Linked DNA regions of Arabidopsis thaliana. The protein of the gene in region 3 interacts with the protein of the main gene of each other region in a biochemical or structural test. Each region holds a gene or a part of one and is shown on either strand. Other genes may lie near its edges.

Evidence for each region.
Region 1: the proteins of MBD7 (region 3) and AT1G54840 form a complex in vitro, tested with the Arabidopsis thaliana proteins (2 studies listed by BioGRID).
Region 2: the proteins of MBD7 (region 3) and PRMT11 form a complex in vitro, tested with the Arabidopsis thaliana proteins (one study listed by BioGRID).
Region 4: the proteins of MBD7 (region 3) and AT1G20870 form a complex in vitro, tested with the Arabidopsis thaliana proteins (one study listed by BioGRID).

Annotation. Positions count from the first base shown.
Region 1 is NC_003070.9:20,451,081-20,456,419, forward strand, and holds AT1G54840 (HSP20-like chaperones superfamily protein), read right to left. Parts: upstream 3,187-5,339; 5' UTR 3,111-3,186; intron 2,856-3,110; 5' UTR 2,853-2,855; coding exon 2,057-2,852; intron 1,975-2,056; coding exon 1,721-1,974; 3' UTR 1,513-1,720; downstream 1-1,512. Other genes in the region: NF-YC3 (nuclear factor Y, subunit C3), read left to right, coding at 592-1,245; AT1G54850 (HSP20-like chaperones superfamily protein), read left to right, coding at 3,360-3,364, 4,034-4,401, 4,667-4,914. UniProt on the Arabidopsis thaliana protein: Prevents DNA hypermethylation and transcriptional silencing of transgenes and of some endogenous genes. May act as a molecular chaperone of IDM1, regulating its H3K18 acetylation activity.
Region 2 is NC_003075.7:14,488,867-14,495,239, forward strand, and holds PRMT11 (arginine methyltransferase 11), read left to right. Parts: upstream 1-2,755; 5' UTR 2,756-2,872; coding exon 2,873-3,110; intron 3,111-3,205; coding exon 3,206-3,216; intron 3,217-3,338; coding exon 3,339-3,494; intron 3,495-3,590; coding exon 3,591-3,654; intron 3,655-3,734; coding exon 3,735-3,877; intron 3,878-3,967; coding exon 3,968-4,055; intron 4,056-4,162; coding exon 4,163-4,278; intron 4,279-4,368; coding exon 4,369-4,519; intron 4,520-4,680; coding exon 4,681-4,886; 3' UTR 4,887-5,135; downstream 5,136-6,373. Other genes in the region: AT4G29490 (Metallopeptidase M24 family protein), read left to right, coding at 165-296, 567-694, 798-840, 919-1,002, 1,162-1,203, 1,345-1,415, 1,610-1,663, 1,744-1,849 and 3 more; AT4G29520 (nucleophosmin), read right to left, coding at 5,190-5,378, 5,500-5,631, 5,722-5,799, 5,912-6,043, 6,153-6,221. UniProt on the Arabidopsis thaliana protein: Methylates (mono and asymmetric dimethylation) the guanidino nitrogens of arginyl residues present in a glycine and arginine-rich domain. Type I arginine methyltransferase active on both histones and non-histone proteins.
Region 3 is NC_003076.8:24,092,901-24,098,667, forward strand, and holds MBD7 (methyl-CPG-binding domain 7), read right to left. Parts: upstream 3,633-5,767; 5' UTR 3,523-3,632; coding exon 3,370-3,522; intron 3,090-3,369; coding exon 2,937-3,089; intron 2,852-2,936; coding exon 2,753-2,851; intron 2,570-2,752; coding exon 2,372-2,569; intron 2,283-2,371; coding exon 2,160-2,282; intron 2,047-2,159; coding exon 1,852-2,046; 3' UTR 1,459-1,851; downstream 1-1,458. Other genes in the region: SBT5.4 (Subtilase family protein), read right to left, coding at 3,995-5,108, 5,187-5,281, 5,373-5,767. UniProt on the Arabidopsis thaliana protein: Transcriptional regulator that binds CpG islands in promoters where the DNA is methylated at position 5 of cytosine within CpG dinucleotides.
Region 4 is NC_003070.9:7,257,927-7,264,075, forward strand, and holds AT1G20870 (HSP20-like chaperones superfamily protein), read right to left. Parts: upstream 3,555-6,149; 5' UTR 3,516-3,554; intron 2,869-3,515; 5' UTR 2,850-2,868; coding exon 1,703-2,849; intron 1,606-1,702; coding exon 1,361-1,605; 3' UTR 1,097-1,360; downstream 1-1,096. Other genes in the region: PHT1;8 (phosphate transporter 1;8), read right to left, coding at 66-907; AT1G20875 (uncharacterized protein), read left to right, coding at 3,555-3,755; AT1G20880 (RNA-binding (RRM/RBD/RNP motifs) family protein), read right to left, coding at 4,953-5,255, 5,359-5,401, 5,945-6,071. UniProt on the Arabidopsis thaliana protein: Acts as an anti-silencing factor that prevents DNA hypermethylation and gene repression.

The DNA.
Region 1 (5,339 bases), on a different chromosome or scaffold from region 3:
ATAGATTCGAAAATAGAAAGTAAGCATTACCTTTTAAAAACCTTCTCCTACGAAACGCCATCTGTCTTCTAACTCCTTTTTATTAAGTTTCTTAAAGAAGGTTAAAGAAAAACCCTATAAAATAAATATCCCAACGAAGGCGATAAAACCCAGATTTTCCAGATCTTAAATTCTCTCCTCCCCCAATTCCATCTTCGCAAATTCTCCAGATTCTTCCGTCAATCTTTGAGGTAATCAATTTTCTCTTAAATTTCCCAACATTTTTTCTGGGTTTATTTCATAATCAAAGCTTTTGTCTTCAATTTATTTGTTATCGAGGGCTAAAAAAACTTTGATTTATGATCGTTTCTCTTGTTTTGATGAAATGTATTTTTATTTTGTTAATTTCACTACTTTTGCATTCTTTTGTCTGATTTTTATCTTGTCTGATTATTGTTTTGTCTGATTTTTATCTTGTCTGATTATTGTTAATGTGTTTAAGTTGTGTTTTTTTTTTGTTTTCAATATGAAACTTATAAATTCATTAGTGTTTTTGATGATAGAATTAAAATTAAAAACTTTGAAAAATGTTTCTCTTAGTTTGGTAGAGAAATGGATCAACAAGGACAATCATCAGCTATGAACTATGGTTCAAACCCATATCAAACCAACGCCATGACCACTACACCAACCGGTTCAGACCATCCAGCTTACCATCAGATCCACCAGCAACAACAACAACAGCTCACTCAACAGCTTCAATCTTTCTGGGAGACTCAATTCAAAGAGATTGAGAAAACCACTGATTTCAAGAACCATAGCCTTCCATTGGCAAGAATCAAGAAAATCATGAAAGCTGATGAAGATGTGCGTATGATCTCGGCCGAGGCGCCTGTTGTGTTCGCCAGGGCCTGCGAGATGTTTATTCTGGAGCTTACGTTAAGGTCTTGGAACCATACTGAGGAGAACAAGAGAAGGACGTTGCAGAAGAATGATATCGCGGCTGCGGTGACTAGAACTGATATTTTTGATTTTCTTGTGGATATTGTTCCTCGGGAGGATCTTCGTGATGAAGTCTTGGGTGGTGTTGGTGCTGAAGCTGCTACAGCTGCGGGTTATCCGTATGGATACTTGCCTCCTGGAACAGCTCCAATTGGGAACCCGGGAATGGTTATGGGTAACCCGGGCGCGTATCCGCCGAACCCGTATATGGGTCAGCCAATGTGGCAACAACCAGGACCTGAGCAGCAGGATCCTGACAATTAGCTTGGCCTAATAAACTGTGAGTTCTTGGTTTAGATTTGTGCTTTATCGTTACATGGACACAAAACTTGATTTGATTGTTCTTGTTTGTTTTCCGCAGAGCCGTCTAATTCGAAGCTCTCCCCGGTGGATCTACTCAAGAAGAAGAATGTTAATAGAAAACTATTGCGACATAAAAAGTTTGGTGTAGTAGAATAATTTCTGTTTTATGATCCATGGATTTATCTATTGTTATTCAGTTTGGTTTATCTTGTCATCAAACTGTTTTCGGTCAATGTAACAAATTCATAAACTGAGAATTGAACTTACAAAAGGCTAGATTACTACTTATAAAGTTCAAAGCTACAGTGATATTGTAAACTAACCAGTCCTTACACATAGTTTTCAAAATGGCTTAGCTCGAGTTTAAATAGTCCGTACTTATCCCTACCCATAACCAAAACCAAAAACCGACGCTTCCTATATCACTACCAAACGTTTACACAGTTTGTTTCTGCAAGTTTTTCATTACGACTCCTTCAAGAATTCCATCTGTTCCAAAGTTGCCAGAAAACTCGTGTGGATGGACAGGACCGGGGAGGCGGAACGAGACAGAAAAGTTACCGGGAGGGCAGAGACTCCGCGTTTGCATTTCAAACACATGAGAATACCGTTTAACTCGCTTCCCGCCTGTTGTAGTGACTCCTCTAACTAGTACCTTCCCATTGTCTTCTACTTCACAGCTAAAATATCCTGCAATATCTCACACTCATCAAATCAAGAAACTGGTTTAGTGGGATGAGAGATCTTCTAGATAAAGCAAAAAGTAACTCACTTTCATCTCTTTTCACACCAGGAAGCGATACACGGAAGAGATAAGCGTCATCACATTCACCAATGTCCATCAGTCCCACCATTAGTCCACCATGAGCTTCAGATTTCACCTCAGGTTTTGCAGCAACATCACTTTCTTCACCGCTAGTGCAAGTACCCGCATTATCCTCTTTCACAGGTTCCACGCTCTCATCAATCTCAACCTTAACCTCATTAGCTGCAACAACGCCGTTACTTTTAGTTACATCAACACTAAGGCTCAAAGCAAAGCTATCCAATCCCGTAAGCCGCTTAAACCGCGCAACACATTCTTCTCTCATACAAGAAGTATCTGGATCATTAATGAACACAATGCTCCGGATAAACTTAAACTTATGCCTAACATGGGTTTCAGGGTGCAATTTTCGCGGAAAAAGATCCACGAAAAGAGGGTAATCCCTGTTCGAATCATTGCGTTTCGCATTGAAATATTCACGTAACTTTTTCGGCTTCATGACTAGAGACGGATCAACATTTCTAATAATGTGATAATACACACGTTCTAGCTCAGCTCTCTTCATAAGTGAGCCACTTAACTCATCTACCACAACATTCTTCAACGCTTGAATCTGAAAAGCTGATTGCTTTGGACGATGATGTTGTTTTCTTAAATCTGGTCCAAAGTAAGTTCCTATGATGAAATGTAAGAGAAACAACTTGTCTTCTTCAATATCCAATGAAATTAACACACTTTCTTCTTGTTCTTGAGAGTTTTCAGCTACTAAAGGAGACACGATCTCAGGCATTGTATCACTCATATCCTAAACACACAACACAACATCAAAAGTTTGATTCTTTATGAGTGTTTATACAAAAAGATTGAAACTTTAATAGAAAATTTGAAAAATACTGGACATGCAATAAGAAATTATAACCAAATTGGATAAAAATTGGACACATTTCGTATCAAAATGGGTGGGAAAAAACGAAACTTTTTAAGGAGATTTAAGAAATTGAAGCAAATAGAAACATAATTTGTTGATAAATAAACGAAATTGAGATAAAATGTTACTAACCAGGAGTGTAAATTTAGGGTTGCTGCTTAGTGAATTTCGTTGTCTCTCATCAGAGAAACAGAAAGCGACTTGGGAAAAAAACTCAAGACATGGCAAGAAGAGGGTAAAAATGGTATTCTTTCGGCACTGATTTGTCCACGTGGCGATTATACCAAATGTACATCTTAAAGAAAATTAAGAGAAAAAAAAAAAAAAATCAACAAAGCTTCTCGGAGATTTTTGCCGGCGACTTCTGAAACATCGTCTCCGATGAGGTAAAGTAACTAATTTTTCTCAAAAATTCGTCAGTTTTGTTTCTACTCTTGCTCTTATATAACCCAAGTTTGTGTATTTTCGTTTGATTCTGTGAAAGATTTAATTTTTCTTTATGGGTTTTGTACATTTTCACTGATTGAAATTAGGTTACTTTTGGCTAAAAGTCTGAAACTTTGATGAAATACTTGTGTGCCAAACTTATTTTCAGGTTTAAAACTTAAACTTATGTCTAAGATAGTATAATATTCATTACTTGGCTAAACCCTTGCTTACAAAATTGGGTCAGACTCATGTGTGTATCTAACATTGTTGTGTAAGACCTTTTCGATAACATAAAAGAGGACAAATGATGAATGTTGCCTCTTCGTTTGTCTAATTTGTGGTCATGAAAGTATAAGAAGTTTCCGTTTGTATGAATATTCGTAAGCATTAATAGTGGTTATACATCACAAGACTTAGCTTGCTTATTGGATCTTAACCAATATAGTTCAATCTCTTGCTCTCTTACTGATTCTAGAATCTAGCTACCTCTATAGCCTTATAATGTTTCAAAGATTAAGCCTTTTTAGTCCGCTGCTGTTTTAAAGAATCGTTGTAGTTTCGTGAGTGATTCTGTTATATAGCGAATCTGAGTCAAGTGTATGATAAAAGGAATTGTTGTGCTTCAGGTCTTCAAGTGGTCTAAATGGGATGAGGGAAAACAACAGTTTTCCGGATAACACAAGGAACCCACAAATTCTTGAAGTGACTCCATTGAACAGTATGCCTTACATTGGTCCAGTAACTCATGCATCCATGTCGAGTAACAGGATGAATGATAGTGTAGAGAAAGTAGGAGGGCCTGCGATGATATTTCTGCCTTCTGACTCAAGTTCAGAGTTTTCTAACCTTATCAGTCAAACGAAAACCGGAGTTGCTCTCACGGGAAGTGCTGCAATGGGGAAGATTGGACTAACGATTGGGTTGGTTGATATTGCTGAATCCGAAGACTCATATTACTTTCGTGTTGCATTGCCTGGTGTTTCAAGGGATGAGAGTAAGTCTTACCACCTTTCCATATCTTTGTGAAGTTTCCAAATGACATGCCAAATTATCATTTCTAAAGCTAGTTAAAGATATTTGTTCATTCAGAGCAAATATTATTTGCACATAGATTTGAGAAGTTTCAGCCTTGTGTTATAAGTGTGTTTACTCAATTATTTCCTTGCACACGGTTTATAAGCGTGTTTATGAGGTGCTTTGAGCTTTGTTTCGTGTGCTTTTACTTGTCTTCTGCTGAATCTGACTTGTTAAATATGCAGAGGAATTCAGCTGCGAAATAGAACCAGACGGTAAGATTATGATAAAGGGAGCAACAACGACGGGGGAGCAGACAGTTTGCAAACACAATCAGATCTTCAAAATGCTAACACAGAACTTATGCCCACCAGGCCACTTCACCATCAACTTTCAGCTTCCTGGTCCTGTGAGCAATGAAGAATTTAACGGTAATTTTGGGTCAGATGGTGTACTTGAAGGCGTAGTGAAGAAGGTGTACTACGAAGACTGAACAGAAACAACAAATGGAGATGGATTTGTTGAGTTTTAAAGTAAGCTAGAATCACTGCAGCTTAAGTAGGATTTTCTTTTTGTTGGAAGCTACATTGTCATCACAAAGATTGTTGATTAGTTTATGTTACTTTGTAAAAACTTAACTATTTGATACTTGATATGCCTGATGAAAAAAGAATTGGAGATGATATGGTAAGGGAATTATGATAGGAAATCAATTACCTAAAATTCAAGAACTCAAATCTTTATTTTGTAAAAATCAACTTCCACAATACCTACTACATTTGTCTACTCAATTACTTAACTTCTACAAGTAATCATATAGCTAAAAAAGCAACAAGGAAAATTTCTATGCCTTCACAATAACACTATAACTTAACTTCCATACGTTATTCACCTCACCTAATATTATTTATAGTTTCA
Region 2 (6,373 bases), on a different chromosome or scaffold from region 3:
GAGATTTGGTCTTATGTTTGTCTTGTCTTGATGCTGAAGATGAATTATCTTACCGCATGTCTTGTGATCTAGAATTTCAGGATTCTGATGCTCGTACTGTTTTCCTGATATTTGGAATCTCATTTGTAATTATTTCTTTTTACTGTTGTCCTGTCTTATTTCAGGGGATAGACAAGTTTGAGACTGATTTGACTACTTTACATCCTATTTTGGCGGAATGTCGAGTTATTAAATCAAGTTTGGAGCTTCAACTAATACAGTTTGCAAATGATATAAGTTCTGAAGCTCATATAGAGGTGTGAATTTGATTTCCTAACATGTTTTCTCTCGAATTGTTGTTTGTCTTTTTAAATGGTATGCTTAGACCAATGAATGAAATAAATTGATGAAACGATTTTCTTATCTGTTGGCTTGTTCACAATCTGTCGTTTTTGTATCATCTTACGACTTAGGTTTCTGACCTCAATTCTTCTTATCCACTCCATGTAGACAGTTTTTTTCTTCTCTTTTTGCAATTCTCTTACATCTTTCCAACTTTAACCATGTGTTTTTTAATCCACATTAAGGTTATGAGGAAAGTCACACCGGGCATGAAAGAATATCAGATGGAAAGTATGTTTTTGCATCACAGCTACATGTACGGTGGCTGTAGGCATTGCTCGTACACATGCATTTGTGCAACAGGGGATAATAGGTAAGTTTGGTGGATAAATCTTGTTATTGCTGAATATGCAGAAATATTCCTTTTCAGGTGTTTGTACTGAAAAACTAACAAAACGATGTTAAATTGTTTGTAGTGCTGTTCTTCATTATGGGCATGCTGCGGCTCCAAATGATAGGGTAAAGGGAACACACATTCCTCGCTTTTTTAGTTCTCTCATTATTCCCTGTTTGAAAATGTTTTAATACTTGTTGCAGACTTTTGAAGATGGAGATTTGGCATTGCTTGATATGGGTGCTGAATACCATTTTTATGGGTCTGACATAACATGCTCATTCCCCGTGAGTTCTTCTAGCATCAAATCTATTCTTAATTTTCCTCTGAATTGTCTTTGCACCGCATTGACTTGTGTTTTTAATCTTGTTTACATGAACATCATAATTTGCTGAATGTAGTTATCTAGAGAAAGTGGTCTCTAATATTTATCAATTGGTGTGCAGGTCAATGGTAAATTTACAAGTGACCAGAGTCTAATCTACAATGTAAGTGCCTTACAAGATTGGTGCAACGTGGATGTATTAGAAATGTGTGCTCTATTTTTTGTCTTCGCACAATCCAGAGTTTGGTGAGTCTCTTGAAGCTTTACATCTGAATAAGTTTCTCTGATTTTGCCTTCCTTTCAGGCTGTTCTGGATGCACATAATTCTGTAATCTCTGCGATGAAGCCAGGAGTAAACTGGGTGGATATGCACAAGTAAGTCTTACTGAGATGCTATATAGCTCTGTTCTACTATGCATGCAGATGCAGTAATTGGGATTGACAATGTAAGCGTAAACTCAGTTGCTTTGGTCCATTTTGATTTATCCTCTTGTTAGGGAGATAAATTGAAATACATCTCCATATGGTTATTCAGCTTTCTTTGTCGACTGAAGCAAATTAATGTACAGGTTAGCTGAAAAAATCATCCTTGAGTCACTGAAGAAGGGGTCCATACTCACTGGGTAATTCTCTCTGTGTTAGACATTTCAATACTCTTCTCTAAAGGTTAATTCATTCTCATGGTTTCGTTCTCTGTTCCTAGTGATGTAGATGACATGATGGTACAGCGCTTGGGTGCTGTTTTCATGCCTCATGGACTAGGTCACTTCATGGGCATCGACACTCACGATACTGGTGGCTACCCAAAGGTACATCAAATCTTTTTTCAACCCAATAGTATCATCACGTAAATAAAACCACAGTCCCTGTGTCTTACCCGTTGCTTTGATCTTTCATTCTTTTAGGGAGTGGAGAGACCAAAGAAACCTGGATTGAAGTCATTACGAACTGCAAGAGACCTACTTGAAGGAATGGTAAGGGCCGATTGTTTCAAGTAGAAATGCTTTTGGTTCTTCTCATTTATCGTCTCTGTTCATTGTCCTAATCGTATTTATGTCAGGTAATAACGGTGGAACCAGGATGCTATTTCATCAAGGCATTGCTGTTCCCAGCCATGGCAAACGCAACAACCTCTAAGTTCTTCAACCGTGAAACAATAGAGAGATTCAGAAATTTCGGAGGTGTCAGAATCGAAAGCGATTTGGTAATGTCAAATTCATATTCACTACAACGTCTACAAGTTAAAACACTCTCAAGAGTAATGTCATATACAATAATCTCATTTTGTTGTATATGTGTGATTTCTTTTTTAGGTCGTTACTGCTAATGGCTGCAAGAACATGACGAATGTTCCACGAGAGACATGGGAGATCGAAGCTGTGATGGCTGGAGGGCCTTGGCCACCGACCAAGTGATCGTAGCTACTCTTAGGCAGCTTATGGAAATTAAAAACTTGATAAGTAAAACTCAATAATACAACCTTTATTTTTGTTAATGGGAATAAGGAAAAATTGCCTGTGTTTTACTAATCTTGTACATGTAGTTTATTTTGTTTCAGTGTCTTGTTTGTGTGGTTGGATATTAAACCGATTGAATGTTCAAGTGGACAGATAAAATCTAACCGGTTTGGTGCTTGTCGACGAAAACCGAACCGGTACAGAAAATATCTTGAGCACAATTTTAGTTCTAATATAAAATTCATTAACAAGAGAGAAAAAAAAAACTTCAAATTAAAAGCTTCGTGTCTTCATAAAACCCTAATCTCGCGACTTCGTCTCTATCCCCAAAAACCCTTTCCTCTCTTCCTTCTTGTGTGAGACCGAGAAAAAAAGATGACTAAGAACAGTAACCACGACGAGAATGAGTTCATCAGCTTTGAACCAAATCAGAACACGAAGATACGCTTTGAAGATGCTGATGAAGACGAAGTTGCTGAAGGGTCTGGTGTTGCCGGCGAGGAAACTCCCCAAGATGAGTCCATGTTCGACGCCGGAGAGAGCGCCGACACCGCTGAAGTAACTGATGATACCACCAGTGCCGATTACTACTTCGATTCTTACTCTCACTTTGGTAAATTCCCTTTTTTCAAGTTCTATTTTTTTCCTTGTGCTCTTTGGTTATGAATTCTTACTAAGAGTTGAATTTGGTTCCACTTTTTTTTGCAGGAATCCATGAAGTAAGTATCGAGGACAAAGCTCAGTTTTTTTTGTTATAGTTTTTGTTCTAGAAGTTTAATGTAATTCATTGTGTTTTCTTCTGTATATATCTGATGACTGAATTGAGAATGGTATCTGACAGGAGATGTTGAAGGATGTTGTGAGAACAAAGACTTATCAGAATGTTATTTATCAGAACAAGTTTCTTATCAAGGACAAAATTGTTCTTGATGTTGGAGCTGGAACCGGAATTTTGTCTCTGTTCTGTGCCAAGGCAGGAGCTGCTCATGTCTACGCTGTATGTCTTCAATCTTTCAGTCTCTTTTTTAATAATCATAAGTAAGAAGAATCTTTTTCAATTTTGACTGATTTGATTGAGGATGTTTCTTAATAGGTTGAGTGTTCTCAAATGGCTGACATGGCAAAGGAGATTGTTAAAGCTAATGGATTTTCTGATGGTAGGTCTTTTATCCATGTTGAGTTGTATTCAAATCGATAACTTCTGTTCTGTAACATGATTTTTGTTTTATCGATGCAGTTATTACGGTATTGAAAGGGAAGATTGAGGAGATAGAGCTTCCCACTCCTAAAGTGGATGTGATTATATCGGAATGGATGGGTTACTTTTTGTTGTTTGAAAATATGTTGGACAGTGTCTTGTATGCTCGTGATAAATGGCTTGTAAGTTACAGCTCCACCTTGTTACATGAGATTCTTAGTTACCAAAACCAATTAAATGAAATCTTCTTGGTCCTGTGTTTTTATGGATAGGTTGAAGGTGGAGTTGTGCTACCAGACAAAGCCTCTCTGCATCTTACAGCCATAGAGGATTCAGAGTACAAAGAAGACAAAATCGAATGTGAGTGCATTGATTTGACACGTTTTCTCGTCTTTTTTTTTCCAACATTGATCTTGATGTCTGTTGAGATTTGCATTTTTAATTTCTTTTTTGTTGTTCTGCTACAGTTTGGAACAGTGTGTATGGTTTTGACATGTCATGTATTAAGAAAAAAGCTATGATGGAACCACTTGTTGACACAGTCGACCAAAACCAAATCGTCACCGATAGTAGGCTTCTAAAGGTATATAAGATATCATATGATGATGATTAGTAGTATCTCTTTACCTGTGTGACTAATGTTCATTTCATTATTCTTATGGGTTTGTAACAGACGATGGATATCTCAAAGATGTCCTCTGGTGATGCTTCCTTCACAGCTCCCTTTAAGCTTGTTGCACAACGCAATGACTACATCCACGCCCTTGTAGCCTACTTTGATGTATCGTTTACCATGTGCCACAAGCTGCTGGGCTTCTCAACAGGTTCAGATCTCTACAATCTTGTGCTAGCTCTGAGTATTCTATTTTTTTTTGGTGCAAAGAAATGGCATGTTATCGAATAACTTGGTTTGAAGTTTAAACATAGCACATTGTTTCATTATGATCTGAAACTTGCACTGAACAACCATATGTGTCACATGCAGGACCGAAATCCCGAGCTACACACTGGAAACAAACAGTTCTGTATCTAGAAGATGTGTTAACCATATGTGAGGGTGAGACAATCACTGGAACTATGTCCGTTTCTCCTAACAAGAAGAATCCTCGAGACATTGACATAAAGCTAAGCTATTCTTTGAATGGCCAGCATTGCAAGATCTCAAGGACCCAACACTACAAAATGCGTTAAAGTTCTCTCATAAGAAGCAGAACTTCAGAAGATACAATTCTCATATTGTGATTTAGTTTTTATATTTCTTTTTCTCCAGATTACAACTTTCCATTTGCTTCACATTGCAACATTTGCTTCATCTCAAGTTAAATTAATGATTTTGCTCTAAACCATCTCGTGTATGTTCCTTGTTGATCACAAAACTGATGTCTGTCAACACTTTTCAATATTCTCTCCAAAAGATTATAGAAACTAAAGGAAATCTACAAAAAGCAAGTGTGAAGAAAGAGTACATTAAACAAAACCAGTTTAAAACTGTTTCTATAGCTCAGACTTTCCGGATTTAGGTTTCTTTGAAGAAGACGATCCAAGTCCTTTCCACCATCTCCGGACCCGGTTTGACACTTTCTGTGCATGTCTCTTCAGAGCCTCACCTTTCTTCTTGAACTCCTTAGTGATTGTCTTCTTCAATTCTTCTGTTTTACTCTCTTTCTCTTTCAAAACTTTTCCCTAAAAACCAACAAAACCATACAAGTGTTTTAGAGAAAAGAAAGAAAGATCTCGGTTTCCTTCTTCTTCATGAAAGTTTAACCCAAAGATTTGATCATTTGAAAAAAGAAACTTTATGTACCAAGTTCTTGGGAAACTTATCATCTTCTTCCTCATCTTCATCATCGTCGCCATCATCATCTTCATTACCGATATTCCCCTTCTCTATATCTTCTCTAGAGTATACCTTCATGCCAGGTGCTCCTGGCATACCCTGAACATAGCGGTAAAGAGTAAGCTTAAGATCATTCCATGGATATGCATTCCTTGCTTAGTGGTATTGATTGACGTCATCAAAGATTACCTGCATAGATCTCAAAATCTTGTCCATTTCAGCATCTTTTGATGGTTTTGCAACAAATGGTTCTCCAGGAACCCGATCCTGGCAAAGATAAAGAAACACTTATCAAAACGTCATCTCCACAGCAACAACATAAGAACATTCACGGACACAAATCACCAAAGATCCACATTTCAGTTTCAATAAAAGGTACCTTGGGAACAGGAGGAGGTTTCTTGCTGCAAGCATCGGTCAAATCTTTGCATAGATGATTCACCAGTGAAACAAGATCAGGCTTAGACTTGTAAATATACTCTGCAACATCAGTGTCTGAGTAACCAATGACCTGCAACACACACCAACAAACAGATGAAAATCACATTTATCCAACTCTAAATACTCAAAGAAATGCAAATCCAATTGTATTAACAGCTGAAAGACCACATTAAGCTAACCTTTTGACAAGCATTCTCGATCGTCTTGCACTTGGAATTACACATCCCTTCTTCTTGTTGCTCAACCAGCTACGAACCCAAAGTCAAAACAAACAAATTGTTAACAGAGTCACCAGCATTGAGATTCAACAACAAATGTACAAGTTTCCACTTATTTCAATCTCAAAGCTACAATGTAATATTTTCGGATCAAACAAGAAGGGAGAGAGGTAGAGAAATCT
Region 3 (5,767 bases):
GTGTAGGTAAACTATAACAATTCCTTTGCATGCTAAAAAAATTAAGAGTTAACATGATGGGTGAATATATAATATATAATGTTGTAGTCTGAGCCTAGGTGTCTTTTGAGGTTAATTTCAATCTGGTTTTCTTTTATAACCCCAATATTACTTTATCGTAGTGATTGGGAACCTAAATTACAAATTTCAGTTAGTTTTGACCATTTTTCATACTTTTGGGGTTTCATTGATAGCTCCTTTCAGTTTAGAGTAAAATATCAAATGATCATAGGAAGCTTCTTTTTCCAACATGCATAGTAGTAGTACTACTAGTAACCATAGAAATTAAGGTGTAGATATTTACGATTTTGGACCAAATACATAAAGAACAACAAAAATATATAGATTTGTAGGGAAAACGCCCTCCAACAAATTGACTTGGCGTGATTAGTTTACAGAAATTACCAGAAATACATCGAAAACATTTATTTATATACTATTGAATACTCCATTGAAATGTGGTAAAGTGATAGTTTTCCTTGAAAGTGTAAATAGCTTAGAGTCAATGTTGGGGTGGTACCTTGAGGCTACAAATTATTCAGGGAAAAGTCTCTATGCCCTTTAATTCTGGCCTATTTGGCTTTTGTGGCGTCAACTCCAATATCAATTTGCAGCACGTACACAATATTTTAAAAATAATCGTACCAAAAAGAAATTTCAATAACCAACAACAATGTTGTCTTTTGACTTTGAAATCTTAGAAGTTTCCACTTACCCATTTCTAGAAGTCTTAAATAGCACTGTTATTCAAAATCTTTTTCATTGTACATCATTAAACTCTATGCAAAAGGAGAAATACATTATAAATTCCCACAATCTGCATTCATTAGTATGGAAACCAGACTTTTAAGAATTTGGTTTATTTTGTCAAAGTTCCACATCAAAAAAGGAATTAAATATAGAATTACACATACAAAGCATATGATAATTCACTTATTGATATTTGCTTTTGAGTTAAAAGTAAAGGTTGACAAAAATAAGAAAAAGGTTAAGACCAAATTCAAAATAAAGTACACTGTATTATATTTGACATATATCTAGTCTATTGCGGTACATTCAAGGATAGATATAGAGATAATTATATAAATATACATAAGATCTTGCAGTAGGTGACTGACTTCATTGAAGTGAATTCATACATATTTTGGTAAAAAGATCTGTGATTGCGTGTACACGTTGTGCTTCACAGTTTTACTACAGTTAACATTATTTTTTCTACAGTTTCACAGCAAAAACCGGTGAAGAGAGGTAATTATATCTCACATGGAATACGATATAATTGTCATATAAACCCTCTCAAGTCTCAATCCAAGAAACCAAGGTGAGCTACTAGCTTTAACCGTTAGTAATAACGATGGACTCTCATAATCGAAATAATCTTGTAAATTTCTATATTATACTCGTGAGAACCACTTGGGGCGTACACAAAATGTTGATTTTCATTTATAGTTAGATTCATACTAAGTATTTGGCGAGTATGTTTAACGAGGAGAAGTTGTTAATACAAAAATTAGAGAGGAAGCACACAAAATCATTCTTAGACAACCATTTCACATCAAGCTTGGAATTTTGAACCATTATTTACACCTTACTACAGACAACTTCGAATTTTAAGTCCCCAAACTTAATATGAGCACTAACATACCTGCCCGAATAACCAAAATCCGGTTCACACCGAATATGAAATTGAAAATTTTGGAAAAGCCGGTTATTTGGGTCAGTTATAAACTAGACCGAAGTATGAACTTGAACAGACTACCGACTGGAATTAGCTCTTGTTAACCGTAAACTAAATTGACAAACCTAGTTCGGTTAAGAGCGGTCTTCGATCAGTGAAACAAATGCCTCGGACCATGTATGTTTAACCAAGCTAGAGACATTCGATCCGCGTACATTCGCAGTGAACATGTTTCCGCCGGAACCGGTAAGAACCCACTTTACTTTCTTCGGTGGGTTTGGGTCAATAACTTCGCTCTGAAATCTGATACCATTCCGGTTCATCAGAAGCTGCCACAGTCAAACCGTTACAACCTTGTATAGAAATGGTTCATCTTCTTTACCTCTAAATGATGTAAAGCTTAAAATCAAACTTCATCTATCTTTAAGCTTAGAAAACTTACAGGAAGCCGCTCCGAATGCACCATAGAAACCGAGTCAAGTGTAATGTTCCCGACTGATATCAAGTATCTCTCAACGGCTGCCATGGAACGGAATTTATTCCCTGTTCCTGGCTCAATATATGACTGCAAACAACAGTACTAACGGTATTGAACGTTTGGACTATATGACACAAACCAAATATAACCAAACTACCTAAGTATCAGATATGTACCCTGTCTATATGACTGGAACTTCTTCGCGGTTTCTCCTCAACGATCCATCCATCAGGTAACCTGAAATCTTTGGAATGGCCACGGCGATTCTGTAAAACCCTAAGCTGCTGCTCTATAGAGTTCCGGGATTCTCTTAAGTATCTCTCAACGGAAACAAGAGAACGGAAGCGCTTTCCTGTTTTTCGCTCAACATAATACTGCAAAGAACAATACTAACGGTTTAGCCAGAGATTCAATCCTAAAACCACCAATTCAACGTATCCTTTTCACATTCTGCTCTTCTCACATCCCACATTTAACCGACCTCAGTTGTTAGTTATGTGACTCAGTAACTTATGCATAGGGTCTAAAATAGCTATAGCAAGTCTCTACATTAGTACCTTATCAATATAATGAGAGTTTTTCCTCGGAACCTCCTCAACGGACCATCCTCTAGGCAATCGGAAACCTTTGGAGGCATATTCAACTCCGCAGTGATCCTGCAAAAGCATAAACACACTGATTTTAAGTATTTGATCCAAGAAGAACCATATGCTTCTGTAATTTCAAATCAGAACAAAGGACCTGTTTGGTTCTTGATCCTTCATAAACCCTTGTCTTGTCCTGGAAAAAGGATCCTGCTCGAGTCAAGCGTCTGTCATTTACTTCTCCAGCCAAGTGTCTGTGAATAGCTTCTAGTGATGAAAACTGTCTACCAGTCCCTGGCTCGATAAAGTACTGCCCACAAAACAAAACAAAAACAAGTAAAGATGAGACTTTTCAGAAGAGAACCACAAGATCTATCTTCAACTCAAGCATATACCCAAAGAAACGACTCATAGACCTCTCAAGCAACAATCAAGAGCTCTGTGGCAACACAATCACTAATCTGATCCAAGCATTACACTTTGGTCATACATATCCATTGCACAAAAGACATAAATTAGCTCTAATTGTTCAAATTCTGAGAAAAAGCTCAAATTTTGTTTCACATTTGCTTGATGTAGCTCATATTTACCGTATCAACAACACCGTTGTTGCTAGATCGCGGCCGATTCACGACGGTCCAACCAGGCATAATCTTGCCGCAAAACGAGGTGGGATCCGCGATCTGCAACTGGGTTTCGCGGCGGTGGTTAGCCGAAGGAGAGGAAGAGGATCTCGTCTGCATCGCTTCGTTGCCGGGTCTAACCCAAAAGCCCGAGACGAGAGTGTGGTTTTTAGTTTGGTCGTCCAAGCCACACACACTTCTTATTTCTCTGTCACTGCTTTCACGTAACGACACGCAAAAAGCACCATATGTCCACTTGGCAAATTTTTACCTTAATACAAATTCTGTAATTAGAAGATGATTAATGAAAAATAAAGTTAATAATCACATGCAAATCAAATATGCTAATCACAAAGATAATAAAAATAATCAATGTTTTTGGTTTACTAGCTATACATTTTATTTTAGGTAATGAATTATATGATGCCGATAGTTATTTGTTAACATCAAAATAAAATTAAACTGTTTTAAGAAAGAATGTGTTTTAATTCAATTTTTTTTATTTTTTTTTTGAACATTAAAATATTATCCAAACATATAAAATGATTCATAGAAGAAAAGTGAGAACGATGAAGTAGAATGAAGAATGAGGCTAGCTTGAAAGTTGGACGACGATGGGACTCCTAACGTAATGATGTGAATCAGTCCACGTCAGCTCTCCAAAAACGTAGCCTGAAGGCGTCACTGGCAAGGGACGAAGAGTCATCTGAAATATCTTCACTTCACCAGTTTTGTTGAACGTGAGCTGTTTTGGCTCCACGGAGACGCGAACTCCAAGTGGCTCTCGGAAACGAGCGTTGTAGGTAGCAGGTGGTCCAACGTTTTTGAGTTTTCGGGTGACGGTGATAGAGCCCGTGAGGTTTGGGACAGTGATTGAAGGGTAGTTGAAGTCGAGAAGATTGGCTCCTTGGCGACACGTGTACTGTGGGTCCTCGGCAAAGAGTTGAACCACGGTGTTGTTGTAGCCAACGGCGCAGAGGAAGTCCAAGTAGTCTCCTGTGGTGAGATCATAGACAAGACCAGGATGGGCGGCTTTATTGGGTTGGACATGGCCTGAACCGTAGCTGAAGGGATTTGCTTTCTTGAAGGATTCATCAACCATGGGCTTACGTCTGTTGTTTCTGGTTCTTGAAGTTGTCATGATGGCTGAGCGGATAGCTGCAGGACTCCAATGAGGGTGAAGTGTTTTCAAAAGACCAACGACACCGGAGATGTGAGGACAGGACATGGAAGTTCCTGATTCGGTGTTGAAAGGAGTTCTTCGATTGTCAGAGTCTAAGTCTGTAGGGCCCGTGGCTTCCGTGAAGGCGGCTATGATGTTGACACCGGGTGCAGTGATGTCGGGCTTGAGGATCCCTGGTGTGATGGTGTTTGGTCCTCTGGAAGAGAAAGAGGCCATGAAAGGAGCAGGCTTTGTGTTCAGCGTAGCGGTAGGTGCTTTGATGTAACCTTTGGGATCTTTTGTGGAACTTAGGTAAGAAAACAAAGTTTCACCATCTTTGTAGTCAATTTGTGAAGCAGGAAGAACATGAGCGTCTGAGATGATTTCGTTTCCACTCGCCTTGTCGTTGCATAGAACCATTCCCGCAGCTCCAGCAGCAGCCGCTTGCATTCCCTTGTCCACACGTGCGTTGTCTCCTCTCAGACACACCAAGATCTTCCCTTTCACCTTCTTCGGGTCTAGGCTACCTTTCTTGCATAGCAATCTATGTAACCATCACTAGTTAATTAGTACTTACTTAATTATACACATTCCAAAAAATAGATATCAAGCGTTTACTTACGCATCTGTCACATTTCCATTGGCTACATTAGCATCTGCAGCACTGATGAGGCTATACATCTTTTCTTCAGGCAAAGGCTTTGAGAGGCTTGTTCCCTGCTTTTCAAAATTAATTACTTGTAGCACAAGAAAGAAAGGAACCAAAAGTGAAAGAAAAAAAAAAGAAGACGAGGTCAAAGTATCAAACCTTGAAGCTTTGGCCGTTTTTGAGCTCAACAAAAGCTTGAAACTCCCGATCCATGGAGCTAGCACCGACTGTAATAACCCATGGTGCAACGTTTGAGACAGTGCCAGACTTAGGACCTGAATTTCCAGCAGAGCACACAACCGTCACCCCGTTTTTGACGGCGTGGAAGGATCCAATGGCTATACCATCGCTCATGTAATCTCCAGCATCTCCTCCCACTGAAGCCGAGAGAACATCCACGCCGTCTTCGATGGCAGCCTCAATCGCTGCCAAAATATCAGCATCAAAGCACTCCGCGCCATCCACAGGGGGCCAGCACACCTTGTAAGCCGCGACTCTAGCTTTAGGAGAACCACCACTGGCTGTTCCATTCCCGATACCAAACACATTGGCTC
Region 4 (6,149 bases), on a different chromosome or scaffold from region 3:
GTCCTTTCTGATTTGTCATAGGTAAAATATATAAAAAGACAAACGGATGAAAAGAGTGGACGGACCTTGCGGTTTCAGGCATCAACATTCGCCAATAGAACGTCAATGCAGCAGGAAGAGCACCGATCATAAGTATAAGTCTCCAGGCCAAGTCAGCTTCCGTCGGAGCCGCCGCATCCACCTCCAAACCACCGCCACTTCTCTTAAACGCCACGCAAACAGCCATGGTCACGGCAGAGCTAACCAAAATCCCCAACCCTTGCATCGAAAACACCGCAGCGATAAACGCGCCACGTGTCCTCTTATTAGCAAACTCCGACATAATGGTAGCCGAGAGCGGGTAATCACCACCGATACCTAAACCAAGAAAGAACCGGAAAAAACCGAGGCTAACCATAACACAAGACCGACGAGTGGTGCACACGGAAAAGCCACAACCAAAGGAGCTAAGGATCATAATAATCAAACAAAGTCCGTAGACTCGGCGACGACCGACTCGGTCACCGAGGTAACCGAAGACTAGTTGACCCGTGGCTGTGCCGAGTAAAGCGATGGCGTAAGAAGTTGAAAGAACGGCTGTGTTGATTGAGTCACCGTTGTAATAAACATGACTAATCATTTTCATGACCGGTGCTATGCAGAAAAGATCGTATGCGTCGGTGAATAGACCCATTCCCGCTACTATGATCGCTTTGAAATGGTACCATTGTGTTCGAGCTACATCAAGCGACGACAATACCTTTATCGGCATCGTTGGTTTTTTTATCTGAGATTCCGAATCCAGAGCTTTTTTTTTTTTTTTTTGCTTCTTTCCTTTTGGTTTGTTATATCGAAATTTCGAATTCATGATGAGTGAAACAGAACAAGGATCTTTATAACGATTAATAAGTCTCTTTGTCATTTTCATTACTTTATTGGTATGAGCATGGAATATGCTTATGATTTTGACTCCGAGGAAGACTTAGTCAGTTTGTTTGTAAGAGCTTCTTTTTATCTATGTTGTCACATTAAGGCACAACATCATAATTGTTTGAATTTTTCTAGCCAAATTAAACCGTCGGTTCAGTACTGTTTTAGTTTCGGTTTGATCACTTATTGAGAAATGAGAACAGTAACTACTAACAAGTAACAGCAACACTGCCAACACAGAAACAATATTAACGGATTCTCAGTTTGATGAAATCATTGTGAAAACGGATATTTAGCAAAATCATGCAAAATCTACAGAGTCACGTCCTAAAAGTAAAAGATTTATCCTTGCATGCTGTTTGATTCGCTTTCCTTCTATGTCCAGTAACATAAAGATAAAAGATCTACATAGATCCTAAGTTCTAAACTTGTATAGGAACCTCCGGTTTAATTAAGAGTTTTTGTGTCGGATGATGACTCCCTCGAAGATACCATCTGATCGGAAGTTAGGAGAGAATAGCCGCGGATCAACTGGTCCCGGGAGGTTAAAGCACAGCTTGAATGGTCCAGGCGGACACAGCTTCCGGATATTCATCTCGAACACCCGAGAATGTCTCTTGATATTTTTTTCGCCTCTTGTAGTTGATCCCTCCAGTATAACCTTTCCATCTGATTCAATCTCACAGCTGAATTCACCTGCACACAAAAGGACCAAACCAATTCATGTGTTAGCACTTAGACCCGATGTGGCGTGTATGGAAGTAGTTAGATGTGCAACAAAGTGTAATAATACCGTAATCTTTGCGGACACCGGGCAAAGCAACCTGAAAAAAGTAAGCAACCTTGTTGACACCAATGTCAACAACACCAACAGATGATCCTAGAGTTTCTTTACTGGCTGTTCCAGTAGTTACAACCGACGGTTCTGCATCGCTTTCCTTCATCTCCGAAGAAAAAGGTATAGGCTTATCTGTTTTTTCTCTTTCCATAAGAGTTTCACCATTCTTGTTTGTTGCCTTTTTTGATGAGTTCTTGAACCGTCTTCTCTTGTATGTCTCACGAAATCTTTCAGGGGTTTTACTCGTTCCACTAACAGCATGACCAGTAACTGCTTCTTCTTCCTTGTTCTTTCGCTTGCATGTTTCTGGAAGCTTTACAAATGAATAGTAGTCTTGGTCAGAGACAATTCCACTGAATGCAGATTCTCCGTTTCTTGAACAGTCCTGCTTCATTCCCTGGCTTTCTGGTATGTCTCCCGAAAGTCTTTCTGGTTCACTGATTACGCAACTAGCAACCGCGTCTTCCCCTTCCTTTCTCTTGCACGTTTCTTGAAGCTCACCAGATGAATTGTAGTCCTCGTTAGTGACAACTCCATTAGCTGTCGCATCACCATTTCTTGAACAGTCCTGCTCAGTTTCCCGGCTTTCATCCAGATTAACCCGAGGAGATAAAGACGTGACTCTATCGATTTTCAGGTCGTCCAAACGCGACAAGCATCTGAACCTTTGGAGTTCTTCCTTGTTTATGAACCCTACTGCAGGATCATCAATAACAACAATTCCTTTCACAATCTCGTGGCTCGGGGAATACCTTTTCTGCGGGTGAAGATTCGTCGGGAAAAAATGCGTGAACTGAGGAAACTTTCCACTTGGTTCCAATGGTAGATATCCCTTGAGATACATATAAATCATGTCTGGATGAAGAAGGAGGCTGGACTTGGCGTTTCTGAGTACATTATAGTACAAGTTCTGTAGCTGGGAAACAGTTAGAGAGGAAGATCCAATGTGCATCAAAGTGTAAGGTGGCAAACCTCTAGCTAATCTTTGAGAAGATGAACATCTTGGGTTATCAGAATAGACATCAGGACCCAAGTAGTTGCTCATGATGAAATTAACCAAGAAATACTGATCACTCGATAATCCGTCGCTATACAGACTCATATCTTCGATATCAATGAACCTGCATTACATATGAAAGTGGCAACATTGTCACAAATGGAAGCAATAAGGACATTCCAAAAACATAGTTACAGGACATAATTAAGTGTCTCAAATTTGCCAATTTAGTCATAGCATTGAAAATCTCCATCATTTTAGTCCCTAGATCTCTTAAGTTTAACCCTTTTCTAACAATGACTTTAGTCTCCATAATGTTTTGCCTTATCATTACTAAGGAGAAAACATCTTCAAATTAAACCCTAAAAACTTCACTTATTAACAGCAAAATCTACATTTGAAAAGACTATGTTGATATTTTGAGAAAGATTAGTAACTCTGCTTCATATATACTCTTCACAATACAAAAAAAAAAAAAAAACCAATTTTTACCCAGAAAATATCGCAATCCAACAATTTTTCACTAGTTAGCTCAAAGTCAACAATTTTCCTTAAATCTAAAGGTTACTACGCTTGAATACGAACCAGTTTGTACTTTTTACAGCAAAAATCGATCCCACATTGTTCCCACCACAGAAGATAAATAGGGATTATGCAATTTCAACCTTACAAGTCCAGCGATTGTGAAAATTCAAGCAACATTCATGGAGAAAAAACGAGAAGAAATTCGAAGCTTAAGCATGACAGAAAATTCTCAGTGGCAGATTTTACCTTTTTTAATTTCGTCGTGATGTTTTTGGGTTGAGGAGGATGATGGAGGTGAAGAGAAGAGAGATTTCTCTGCGAGAAAGAAATGTTTGGTGTAAGGAGAAAAATGCAAAAGAGGATGGGGGTCCTTTGCTTGCTACACGTGGCTACCACGTGGGTCCCGCAAATAACCGCATTTGGAGGTATCACTTGTCACCTGGCTCACCACGTGCCGTCTTGTTGAAGCACTTTTGGGCCTTTTAAAAAGTATAAGGCCCAAATGTTTTGTATGTCTTATTCTCATTGATAAAGCTTATTCTTTTAAACGAGAGGAAGTTGTAGGAAAATGGGAACATTAATCTTGTTTGTGCTGACTAAACTATCTCTAAATCAGTTTTCTCGGACATCAAAACATCATTACTATGCCACTACCTCATTATGTAATCCTTTTAATTATGTGTTGATCAATTTTTACTTTGATGGATCAAAGAAGGAAACGTAATTACATCCACCCCCAAAAATTGGACTCTTTAAAAATGGTTTAAATGACGATGAATTTAACTAAAAACTCGAATCTATCATCTTGAAAGCAAGTGGTAAACGAAGTGATAAATGGAGTATAAACAGAGGAATCAGAGTAGAAGATAGGAGTCATAGACAGAAACAATTGAGAAGAACAATTTATCAGTCTAGAAACTGTACAGACATAGAAAAGAGAAGAATCCTGGAGCTAAAATTTATGCACAGACAAAGAAGCTGAAGTGAGCTCCATAGTCATTAATTTTTTACTTACAATGCAGAGGACTTGACTCAAGAGGACGTGAGAATCTACCTAGTAATATTACCAACACTCATATGCCTTAAGAGAGTGTGTAGTAAGAAGACTACTTTTACCACCCAAAAGAATCAGATGTTGATTCCACCATTCTATATGCATTTATGTATGTGTTTATATATATATGAACTTTCTTTGTACACCAAACTTATTCCTACCAGTTTACCGCGAAAACCCTTGTTTCCGGGGTGAAACTATTCATATAGTTTATGCCATCAAGCTTGTTGTGGGCTATATACATAGGATGAGAGGGTTAAAGATAACAGAAGCACAAACCCTGAAACTTCCATTCTCCTTTCCCCCTTTTTTGACTTCTTCAGTGAGCAAGACTACTTAATACCTGTAACGACGGTAATGAGGTGAGATCGAAAACATTTGCAAGTACTGAAACTTAAAAGGGCACCTAAGGAAACAAGCTTACCTCTAGAATGCGAAAATAAATAATGTGCTAAGCTTAAACAGGAAGCCTGCCAGAGTAGCATTTGTCCTGGACTTCTTCCCTTTTCTGCAATCTTTAAGGATTACTAACTGAAAACCGATAAATAACAATGAGGTCGTGTAAGTGTGTACGAACTTCAATCCAATTTGGACCATCAAAAAAGAATCCAAGAATTTGCTTACGTTGATCACCCTGTTGTCTGATCAGAACCGCTACTCTGTATATACTGAGGAGGAGTCTGGACGATGACACGTTGGTGCGTTGGAGCTGAAGGAGAAGGGTATGGAGATTGAATAGCAGACATAGGTGAAGTGGCACCAAGCTGTAGAACATGACTTCCTGGATGTGAATAACCTTGACCCGCTGTATAACCGTGAGCACCAGGAATAGTATGGCTCAGTTGCCCATATTGATAACCCGGTGAGTTAACTGCCCCAGGTACTCCATAAACCTGAAGGTACTGTTGACCCATGTAAGGACCATAGAAACCCTACAACACCATGAAGAGAAGACATGAGTTTATAACTAAAGCCACAACAGTTTAAAATGCATAAAGAAGGTAAGAAGGAACTGCAATAATTTCAAGCGCCTACCTGAGACTGTGAGTACATGTAGTCAGGTCCATATGGTGTAACCCTGAGAGAACCCCAAAAAGCACAGCTAATATTAGAGACAGGTGAGTAAAGTTTTGGCTAAACACTCTTTAAGAAAAGAAGAGTAACACTTATACAAAACAGCTAGAATATGTTATGCTACGAAAGAAAGATGCTAAGCTAGGGGGGAAAAACCTAAGTCCACTCCAAAATGTCCATTCCAAAAATCTAGGTAATTTTGCCCTATCAAAGTCCAAAAACATTCATGACCTTGCCTGTCCAAAACAAATTGAGCTCGGCCACATATCCTCTGCAATTATATTTTTGTATTCCTGCAAGTTACCAATCACAACATGTCACATGATAGTGCTACACTCAAGAACCCTAAGTGGCAGAAGATACAACCCCTAACGCAATAGAATCTCTAGATGATTGTCCATGATGTGATTGGTAAATGCCACTTGATCAAAGTGACTGAAGGACTAGCATGTAGAACATTAGAACTGATACACTCATCAAAGCTTGTCTGTTATAGCAGATTTACAATAGCAACGAAATGTTCTGAGCTTCAAATTGCATAACTCACCCATAAGGGTACACCACTCCTTGTTGGTAGTTATAAGTAGGGGGTTGGTGATACGGATGGCTTCCAAAATGCAAACCGCGAGGACTCTGCACACTTCCAACATATGGGGAAGGAGGTCTTACCCGTCCTAACCAAATAAAAGAAGCAATGCAGTGATTCAAGGTTAACACGGTCATAATCCTTGAAAAATTGAATACTTCACCAA